3 linked regions of the Macaca mulatta genome follow. The protein of the gene in region 2 interacts with the protein of the main gene of each other region in a biochemical or structural test. Links are inferred from orthologs where the notes say so. Each region holds a gene or a part of one and is shown on either strand. Other genes may lie near its edges. The genes, in order: NRP1, VEGFA and SPARC.

The links.
Region 1: the proteins of VEGFA (region 2) and NRP1 form a complex in vitro, tested with the Homo sapiens proteins (8 studies listed by BioGRID, with this or other methods). The link is inferred for Macaca mulatta from reciprocal best matches to the Homo sapiens genes VEGFA and NRP1.
Region 3: the proteins of VEGFA (region 2) and SPARC form a complex in vitro, tested with the Homo sapiens proteins (2 studies listed by BioGRID, with this or other methods). The link is inferred for Macaca mulatta from reciprocal best matches to the Homo sapiens genes VEGFA and SPARC.

Annotation. Positions count from the first base shown.
Region 1 is NC_133414.1:34,570,959-34,574,607, reverse strand, and holds part of NRP1 (neuropilin-1), read left to right. Parts: intron 1-1,977; coding exon 1,978-2,249; intron 2,250-2,742; coding exon 2,743-2,839; intron 2,840-3,649. UniProt on the Homo sapiens protein: Cell-surface receptor involved in the development of the cardiovascular system, in angiogenesis, in the formation of certain neuronal circuits and in organogenesis outside the nervous system. Mediates the chemorepulsant activity of semaphorins.
Region 2 is NC_133409.1:138,337,243-138,340,891, forward strand, and holds part of VEGFA (vascular endothelial growth factor A, long form), read right to left. Parts: intron 3,056-3,649; coding exon 2,859-3,055; intron 2,079-2,858; coding exon 2,002-2,078; intron 1,650-2,001; coding exon 1,620-1,649; intron 1-1,619.
Region 3 is NC_133411.1:160,596,821-160,600,469, forward strand, and holds part of SPARC (SPARC), read right to left. Parts: intron 3,509-3,649; coding exon 3,360-3,508; intron 1,226-3,359; coding exon 1,077-1,225; intron 589-1,076; coding exon 560-588; 3' UTR 1-559.

The sequences.
Region 1 (3,649 bases), on a different chromosome or scaffold from region 2:
CTGGAAATACAGCTATGAAGGAGGGGGTCCCTGTGCTTGAGGAACTCTCTGTCTGGTTGTGGGTAGGAAGTGATCATGGTGCAGTTGAGTGAGGATGTCCAATGGGAGAGCATCCCTCTACCTACGTCCACTTCTCTCCTTCTTTCTAACACCCATTCTCTGACTGGCCTCAATAAACTTCGAGCAGTGAGCTCAATAAGTGGGATTAAGACATGGCAGCAGCATTGCCAATTTCAGTCTTTTTTCCATAAGACTGGGGGGACGGAGGCACAATGGGTGTATTTTTTTCCCATCTTGGTGGATTGATGGATCTTGATGGATCTTGATGGATCACCATCAAGGTGATCACATCTTGATAAATTAGTGGGCAAACAAATCCTAAGTGTGAATGGATCAGCTCAGTCACAGAGGACACCCTGCAAGGTCGGAGAGCGAGAGGGACATTCGTCCTGCAGTATCAAACCTACTAGAGGGGCTAGAGTTGCCACTTGTGAACACCCTTCCCTTATGATTCCACCCACTGGTTTGAAGAAGGGTGGGCTCTCACATAAGCAGCCAGGTAAGGAAAGGAAACTGCCCGTGAACACATCCACATCCACCTGGACACTGTTGACACAGGCGAGCAGAGAGGAGTATGTGCCCACGTGTGCACAGTGAGAAAGCACCTTGCAAACACACAAGCCTCTTGGGCAACAAACACAACCTCCTGCTGCCCATTGAGGCCCGAGCAGCAGATTCACACTTAATCAGGTGAGGCGTTAGAGAAGATGATTTCTATTTGCAAAGCCAACAGTGAAACATGGGTTGTGTGTTTAGACCAGGTGGTGGCAGGAGGAAATGTTCCCAGTGGGGGTCATTAAAAGTGAAGCCAAGAGAAAGTCCTCGCAGTTCAGCAAGTGTCTATGTTGCCAAAATGGCACGTTCTAATGAACCTCAACAAGGCAACCTTCCTCTCCTTGGGCCAGAAGCCCACCTCAAATAGGAGCAGGGCTCACAGGAGAGATGCAAGCTCTCAGGTGTGTTTAAGGAATTCAAAAACCGTGAAAACAAACTATGGGAAAAATAATCTGAACTTGAAAAAGTTTTTTTTAAAAGACTACTACATTATTAGGAAGAACTACAGGTTTATGATTATCAAGGAGTCATATTGACAGAAGTTTCTTTAATCAGAATTCCTGCTGCTCAAATGATAAATAAAAATACATCTCAATGATTTCATTTAATGCATGTGTTCACATGGATGCTGCTGTGCGATCTTAAAGTTGCATGAAAACAGGGTTTCTTAGGCCCAGCGTGGTGAATCATGCCTGTAATCCCAGCATTTTGGGAGGCCAGTGTGGGAGGATTGCTTGAGACCAGGAGTTTGAGACTAGCCTGGGCAACACAGGCAACAAAGACTCTATCTCTTCTTAAAGAAAAAATTAATCTTTTTAAGAACTAGCTGAGCATGGTGACACGGGCCCATAGTCATAGCTACTCAGAATGTTGAGGCAGGATGATCACTTGAACCAAGGAGTTTGAGGCTGCAATGAGCTATGATCGCACCACTGCATCCCAACCTGGGCAACAGGAGTGTCTAAACATAACAAATAAATAAATAAATAAGGTTTCTTCTTAGAGAGCCAGGCGTTTTCAGTCCAGGCTATGCACAGACTTTGCTTTCAGTTTGCTTGTGATGGTACAAATGCCAGCTTGAGCCATAGCCTGTGTCCATATGAAAATGTATTCCATTATAAGTAGTATCCTAATTAGTGCCACTCAGCCTTCCCCTAATCAAATGTCCATTTTGCAGGAGCTGAGAGCAGGGCCTCAGGTGCCCATGAGGTCCCCAAGTATGCACACTTCTCCCTTTCCACTACATATTTTAGTTCTTGGCACTCAGCGCAGGAAGCTTTTGATTAGTGAGACTTGAAATAAGAGAGATAAAAGTGTGGTAATCCTGGCCACTCTCCCTAACACAGTTCTTTGTCATAGCAGGAGATGGCAACTTCATCTATTCCCAAGCTGATGAAAATCAGAAGGGCAAAGTGGCTCGCCTGGTGAGCCCTGTGGTTTATTCCCAGAACTCTGCCCACTGCATGACCTTCTGGTATCACATGTCTGGGTCCCACGTCGGCACACTCAGGGTCAAACTGCGCTACCAGAAGCCAGAGGAGTACGATCAGCTGGTCTGGATGGCCATTGGACACCAAGGTGACCACTGGAAGGAAGGGCGTGTCTTGCTTCACAAGTCTCTGAAACTTTATCAGGTATGACCTCTTCCCAAGGCTGGAAAGGGCAGTGGCTGCAGGAATACTGAGACGATATGTTGGAGGTTGTGCAAATGAGATGCGGGAATTATTCTGAAATTATTTCCAGTGTTTCCCAACCCTGAGATATTGCTGCAATGATAACCACCTTCATAGCAGATTTCACAGTCTCCTATATTGTAGGAACAGAACCAATTTGCTGAGAAAGAACACAAAGGACTTCCATGTCATCTATTTCTGGGCTTTCACAATGTATTATTCCTTTTGTTTGCTGCTTTCTCCCATTTTAAAGTTTGTATTATAAAAAGAGAGTGTGAGGAGAAGGTGCATGCCATCACCAGGCAGCTAATGTGGATTGATGAGTGAAGTGTGTGCTTACACTGAATCTGATGAATTTAATTTATGTGTCATAGCGGGAGCTGAACAAGCATTTGTAAACTCTGCCACGTGAGATGAGCATTTCAATACTGTGAAAATGATCTTATTTTGTTAGGTGATTTTCGAGGGCGAAATCGGAAAAGGAAACCTTGGTGGGATTGCTGTGGATGACATTAGTATCAATAACCACATTTCACAAGAAGATTGTGCAAGTAAGTATGAGCTGCTGTAGAAACCAATGGAGTACTTGCCCAGGGCAAGACTCTTGCCAAAGTGGTGGTCTTTGTTTTGCCCATTTCTACTTGGAATTTCCGTGTGGCCTCTCGACACATCATAGGAAATGCATATTCTGGTGCAACAGGGCATAAAATCAGCCCAATTTACCTGTGGCTGTCCCATTACCTACCCTAGGTCCTTCATAATGTCTGCTTGATACCTACAAAACTCCACAAATAATGCAGAATCCAAAGAGTATAGCTAAGAAGACCCAGCTTACAAGCTGTATATGCCATACGGAAACATTTTGATGAGCAGCGGAAAGTCAGACATTGGATAATTCCAAATATCTGAGTGTATAAACAAAACAGCAAGCCTCTGAAAACTTTGATCAGGACGAGTTTAATTAAGAATACATTGTTAATGAACCATAGAAGCCATAATTCTTTGCTTTATTACAAATAAGTAGATGTTTCTGACTTTTAAAATAGCTGAAATGGCTTAAAAGACTTAAATGAAATTCAGAAACTTGGCCTAGTATTTCAGAGTTGGTCTTTATGGTTCTTGTACTAGGTGGATGTAAGACATAGAAAACCAATTCATATTCCCTAGTTCTTGATATATAATTACAAATAGCATTACTAATGGCAGTGTAATAGCATGGTAATTAGTCTTAAGCTCCATTTGCTACATTGAAACTTTTGTTATACATCATTATATAATACGATGTTAATTATAACAAAATGGGATAAGCCTTTTGGGCAAATTTAAGACAAAGGAGGCCTGTTGGCTGTAATGGGGGTTTT
Region 2 (3,649 bases):
TCGATGGCTCTTTCTTCTCCTCAAGCTGCCCACCCTGGGATGGCAAACCCAGTCCCTGACAAGGCTTTGGTGGGAAACCGAGACTGGGTGGAGGGCACAGGACCCAAGGGTCTCCATGCTCACAATGGCGCCCGGTCTCCAGCAGGGGGCTAAGCCTGAGGGAAGGCTCTTTGCCCAGCAGCCCTGTCCAAGTCTGACCCTGAAGGTCAGGGGGTGATAAAAGGTAGGCCAGACTTTGGGGAGAAGGTCAGAGACCTGCCTGGATGGGGAGCAGGAGTGGGAGGGCAGGCTGTGCGTCAGGCACCTTCTGCCTTCATTTCCGACTGCGACAGAACCTCTGGGAATCCCGGTGTGGGGGAAGTGGCTACCTTGGGAGCTGGCACAGAACCAAGAGCAACACCAGCCTGCTCAGTGCGACCTGTACTGGGAGGCAGGGCTGGGTGTCCTGGAGCCCTGGGCAGGCAGCAGGGTGGGGTGGGAGTTAAGGAGGGCTGGGGAGGAGGGGCTTGGGCGGTACTTGGCAGGGAGTTCTCTCCCCAGCCTGTCAAAGCCTGCTACACCATCTCACCAGACACTCTTCCGAGCCCAGGCGAGCCCCCCACTCTACCCGTGGCAGAGCAGTCATTTGGGGAAGTGGGAAGGGGGGCAGGCTGTAGCCTGTCCCCTTCAAGAGAACCAGCGCTCTCCATGCCTGCCAGGCCCAAGAGAACACACCTCAGAATGTCTGTCACAGGGAAGAAAGGAGGGGGAGAAGGGACCAGAGAGGGTAAGTCTGTCCCCCTTAGGAGAAAGCACCAAAGGGTGGAAGGAAGGTTTCCGCATCCTCTCGTTCTGGAAGCTGGGGGCTGAGGGAAGAGGCAAGGGGTTGAGGCCTGGCGGGGGCTTCAATGTCCCCACAGCACTGGAGGCAGACAAGATGGTGTGGGGGAAAGGGCAGGGCACAGGTGCTCTCTCTCAGTCTCTCTTTCCCTGCAAGCTCTTGCCGATGCCAGTCGCCCACCCTGTCTTGAAGGGTTACTGCCCCCAGACCTTGTCCCCCGCCCCATCCTACCCGCCCCTTAAAAAGGAGCACTCACAAGCCTCTGAAAATGACCAACATTCAACTTTTTCTCCCTGGCCAAGAGGGCTGTGTGTCTGCCGCCTGCCGCCTACAGGAGGGCATGCGCTGAGAAACCACCCTCCAGCCGGCCTTGCATCCAACTGCACCATCACAGTAGCCACCAAAAGAGGCCATTTCCTCTGACACACAAAAGCTGGCCTCTCTGCCACCCACTCCCTCTCCCCACTGTGGGTGCCCTAGAGCAAGCCAGTGAACCAGTGTCCACAGTGCCCCCTGACACACCAAAACAGCAAGTCCTGGCCAGGAATGATCTGGAGACCCGGAAGGCACTGTCCCTTACAAAGGAAGTGCCAGGCTCCTGGCTGGGTTTTCTCACTAGCCCTAGAGCCATCATCCTGGAGTTGGCTCCATCCCATTGTTGCTGACACCACAAGTCCCCCACAAGACCAAGTCTCTGACCCCGGGAGGCTATGGGAGCCCCCAACAGAGGTAGCCAAGAGCCCCAAACCAAGACAACCGGCCATGGAGAGGGAGAAGTGCTAAAGTCAGGGCCACTTACTTTTCTTGTCTTGCTCTATCTTTCTTTGGTCTGCAATGGGTAGGAAGAGAGAAAAGAACAAAACAGAGAAGGGTTAAGATGGTGATGATAATGACAGGGAAAACAACAATAATAATCACAGTAAAAACAGCATTTATTATGGAGCAACACTGTTTTAACCTTCTCATATATAACTTGTTTAATCCTTATAACAATGCTATGAAGTACACTACTATTGTGCCCATTTTACAGATGTAGAAACTGAGGAACACTGAAGTAAAATGCCAAAGGTCACACAGCTGGAAGCTGCACGTGGGCTAAAAAGTACAACATGCTTAACCCTGGCACAGATCAGACACCCTGCAGCCACTTGCTGATAATGAATCCTCGACTACATCCTCACCTGCATTCACATTTGTTGTGCTGTAGGAAGCTCATCTCTCCTATGTGCTGGCCTTGGTGAGGTTTGATCCGCATAATCTGGAGGGGAAGGAAGCAGATCACAGAGGTTAGTGACCCAGCCAGCCATACCCAGATGGGACAACCCTGGGGCTCCTGCCACTCAGCACCCAGGGGTTCTGCAGAGCAGGGATGGGTGGTGGAGACAGGGAGGACCAAGAGCTCTAGCAGGAAAGAGGCTCAGGCCCACCCCAACTCCCCCAACCCTGCTGGCCTCAAGGAGCCCTTGTTCCACTTGAGGCCAAGACAAGGCTGCAAGGGTTGGCCAGGCTGGGAATTCAAATCCTAGGTTCTTACCACTCCCCATGCCCTCCCCTTCTTTCATCCTCTCTAGGCTTCACCCTGACTCCTAGCAGATACCCAAAAGCAACCCCCTCCCTGTGTTTCACAGCTCCCTCCCACCCTATCTGGGCTGAGATATACCCCATTACCAGGTAACACCAAAGACTTTTTAAACTCTTCATGGACCAGGCTCATTCAGCTTCCCAAACAGAGCCCCCAAGAAGAGAGGGCCCTCAGGATTCTCTCCAAGAGAGGGAGAGAGGGGCCTCTGACACAGGCATCCATCTGCCCCCTCCTGAGCCAGGGAGGAGGAGATGGTTGGGGCTTGCTGGGAACCTGGGCTGGGAATACAAGCATCTTCTTCACAGAAGGCAAGACCCTACCACACCTCCCCTGTGCAACTCAGGGGCAGGAGCCAGACAAGGCAAGTCTAGCCAGAAAACGACCTGGGACCACCTGTTCCCAAAGTGTTACGCCCCTCCCTATCCCCCCCTGCCCCCACTTCCCAAAGATGCCCACCTGCATGGTGATGTTGGACTCCTCAGTGGGCACACACTCCAGGCCCTCGTCATTGCAGCAGCCCCCACATCGCATCAGGGGCACACAGGATGGCTTGAAGATGTACTCAATCTCATCAGGGTACTCCTGGAAGATGTCCACCAGGGTCTCGATTGGATGGCAGTAGCTGCGCTGATAGACATCCATGAACTTCACCACTGCGTGAGAGGCGGTGACACATGAGCCCGGTGGACGACACAAAAGATGGCTAGCCCCTCTCTCCACCCAGCTCTGTAAAGCCACTCCTTGGAGCTTCCGTATCAGGCAAGTCCTTCTAAAAATCTACGTCCCTCCTACTGTGTTTGAAGCACTTCCCTAAGCTTTCCACCATCAACACTGGTGAAGGCCTGTTTTCATTCCAGAGATCACACGATATACTCAAGTTCCAAGGGACATGGCCTGCCACATCTGATCCCACCACCTCACTGTGACAGCTGAACTGAATCCTGGGCCAACCTCGATGCCAGAGGACAGTTTGAGTGTCAGTATACCTCATGGGGATGTTGTAAGCTTTCCCTAAAAGGAGGAAAAGCCAGCTTTGCCAAGCTAGTCTCCAGTTTCCTACATCCTCCCCACAACCACTACGATAACATCAACCACACCAACAGCTATTTATTGAGCACTTACTACATCCTGGTTACTGTGTACAGTAGTCCATAGCTATCATCTCACACAAGTTTCTCCACATGGGACTATGAGACACTATTGAGATTCCATTTTACAGATGGGGAACAGGAGGCTCAAAGAGGCTA
Region 3 (3,649 bases), on a different chromosome or scaffold from region 2:
TGACAGCCTCAGGCAAACCACGTTCTGGTTGGTGGGTTCTGCAGGGACCTCTCCCATCACTGGGCCTCTAGTCCCAAAACCATCCTTGACAACATCGTGTGTCTGTTACTTCCCTTTGCCCACCTTCAGGCCACCTGGGGAAGCCCACAGGCAGCCAATACCCTGAAATGAAATGAACACAAAGTCTGACTCGGTGAGTATTAGTTTCAAACAGAATACTAGAGAGAAAAGTTGAAGCTGCAATGTGTGTTTAAGGCAGAGTCCAGCAGATCCATATCCACCCATGTGCCAATAAGACAATGGGCAAAGCTACAAATGGCAAGAGAAAAATGGGACTATTAATGAGTGTGGAAAAGGCCTTAATAGTTAAGTTACAGCTAAGAATGTCATGTCTTGGGTTAGAATTTTCATTTTTAGCACCGTTAAAGTATTCACTTAAATCTATGTTAGCACCTTGTCCCCAGGCAGAACAACAAACCATCCAAACATTTTAAACATTGGGGGAAACAGGAAGGGGAGGGTTAAAGAGAGAGAATCCGGTACTGCGGAAGGAGTGGATTTAGATCACAAGATCCTTGTCGATATCCTCTGCAAAGCAAGAAAAGATCAGGGTTAAAAATAAGGCTGTGTCGATGATGACGCACTTCCCAAGGAGTTGGTGGACTCCCACCCATCCCCAGGGACAGGGGTCTAGGTGGCCGTCCAAGGTCACCCAGGAAGTCAGTGACGGAGGAACCTCGCTTTCCCTGTCTCTGGCCTTTCCCTGTCTCTTACACACGCTGCCAAGTTACACTTCCTGTTTCCTCTCTGTGTGCCTGCCAGTTCCCAAAATAGTGTTTAGCACAAGGTGAGTGCTAACGCTGGAGGAAGGGAAAGAGAGAGAGACAGTCGGACGGACAGAGAAGGATCAGGAAGATGCCCAACAAACCGGAGTCAAATAGGCAGACAGAGCAGAGACAGGCAGAGAGGACAGACAACAGACAGACCAAGAGAGCAGAGAGTGTGAGGATGACAAGCCAGAACCCTGGGAGCAGTGCTTCTGCCCATGCCCCTTGCTCCTTTGCTCAGACACTCACTCTGCTTGATGCCAAAGCAGCCGGCCCACTCATCCAGGGCGATATACTTGTCATTGTCTAGGTCACAGGTCTCGAAAAAGCGGGTGGTGCAGTGCTCCATGGGGATGAGGGGAGCGCGCAGTGGGGCCAGCTCGGTGTGGGAGAGGTACCTGCAGGGAAGAAGGCAGGAGAGGGCCTGAGGCATGGAAAAGCTCCACACCCAGCCTAGGGAGGCAACCGGGGAGTTAGCCTGCCCCAGAGCGTGGAGGAAAGGATATTTAAAGCAGGACAAAAAGCCAGAATCCCAGGTCTACCCCTAGCTCTGCCACTGACTGCTCTGAGACTCAGAGAACAGCAGTGCCCCATTTGGAACCTCAGTTTCTCCTTCCAGCAAAGAGGAGGAGTTAGCTGTAATCACTAACAGCCCTTCCAGTTCTACGGTTTCATGGGCTCAAAAACAAAGGTCTTTTTGGTGTGTTTGATTGTTTCCCAATTGGCTGAGAACTGGGGGCACAGAAACTTAAAATCAAAATTCAGCACTTCTGCTATGGGTAGATCAAAATCTGGCATAACACAACCCTGTATATTGTCTATGGACACACATTTATATAACTATAAATGCCTAGTAAAGCGTCTAAAAAGCCACACCAATCTGGTGACAGTGCGGCCGTCTGGGAAGGAATGTGGAAAGGGACTGGGATTGGCCGTGAGGGTTAATAGGAGCTCTAACCATCTTCATAGAGCTTTACTTGTGTATCCTGTAATGTCTGAGAGGGAGGTCCCTTGGATGTCTCCCACTGTCCTCCCTCCCTATTCTCCCTGCTGGCCTTAGACTCCAGAGCATGTGTATAATTTTTTTCTTTGTTCCCCAGAGCCCCCAGCTACTTGTCCCTAAAACACTCTCCCCGCCAAGGATCTCCAGGGAACAATGTGACTCCAGTTGTCTTCTTAACCTCTAGACCTCCCAGCCCCACCCAGCTCACCAAAGAAATCACACAATGTTTGAACTGATAGGAACCTTCTCCTCCCCTTCATTGTACTGGTGGAAAACCGAGGCCCAGGGAGGGGCAGGGATGCAGGCAAGGTCACCTACAGCCCTGGGATGGGAGGAGGAAGAAGTGGGTCCCCTTGCCCAGGCTGGAGCCCTTTCCCAGATGTGCAGTCCTTGCACCCCATCTGGAAGCCTCCCTCCAGGCCCTCTGTTGCAGTGGGATCCAGTTGCTTTGCCTGAGCTCCAGATGTTCCCCCTTGACTTTTCCCCTCCCTGCCACAATGAGTGACTCAGTTGGATCCCAGCCATGGCAAGAGCCTGGGAGAGAAGTGGCCGGGAGATTCCCAGAGCTCAGGAGACCCCAGCCCTCGGGATCACTGGCAGGGTTGGCGGACTCCAGGCACACGGGCTGGATAAAGAGCAAGGGGTGAAAATCCTAGAGAGGCAGTTCCCTGAGTGTGTGAGTAGGGGAGCCCTTCCTTTCTGCTGTGTGTGATGCTCTGCTTCCACAACCCAAGGACAAAGTGAAAACAACTCTGGGAAGGTGCAGGTGTGGCTTGCTCTATCTGAGGCTGAGCGGGAGCTCTCACTTCATCACCACAAGAAAAGTTCAGAAGGTAGTGACAGGGTTATGAACAGAGTATGAGTCCATAAGGGCAAGGACCATGCCAGCTCTGATTGCTGTTCAATCCCCTGCCTAGAATAGTGCAGGGCACAAAATGCACACTCAGTAAGCATTTGCTAACTGACCAGCTGCCTGCTTGTTCTGCAGTGCAGTTGCAAGTGCCTCATAACTCATTTGGACAAGGGACAAGAGTCCTCAAACTGGGGGCTCGCAAAATAGATGGGATTTTTTGGATAACTTCCAGGGTCAGTTGCGCCCTGTTGGGGCTGGGCCTTAGGAGAGGGCTTAGACAGTACCAGGTGGCTGCACTGCCTCTGGATGTTCTGCTGAAGGACAGGAAGCATATGGCTGACACCACCTTGTCCCCTGCCACCCCTTGGAGCCTGGTACTCCTTCCTAACTCACACTCCTTCATTATCCAGATATCCACGCCTAGTACTTGCAGGATTATGGAGCTATTTTGAGCTCCTACTGACTTTCACCTCAGCATGAGAGTGTCTTATTGGTTTCTTTCTCCCAAGTCCACATCTTTTCTCCAGATGCCTCATCTTTCTGCTCCAATCCCCAGGCAAACTGTGGATGCCAGGGCTAGAAGCAGCATAGGCTGCTGAGAGGCTTTCTGGCCCTAGCTAGCGCACCTGCCAGCCTGGAGTCATGGCTCTGTCCACTCTAGGGTCTGGGGTCTTACCCATCAATGGGGTGCTGGTCCAGCTGGCCGAACTGCCAGTGCACAGGAAAGATGTACATGTTGTAGTTCTTCTCAAAGTCCCGGGCCAGCAGCTCCACGGGGTGGTCTCCTGCCTCCAGGCGCTTCTCATTCTCATGGATCTTCTTCACCTGAGGGAGTAGAGACCGTGTGTGACAAGAGGTCCACGGAGATTGTCTGGGCCAGTCGGGCCCTCCCACCCCTGCCAGAAGGCCAGAGCAGGCAGAGACTAACTAGACCAAAGCTCACAATGAGGGGAAGGAGGTGTCATA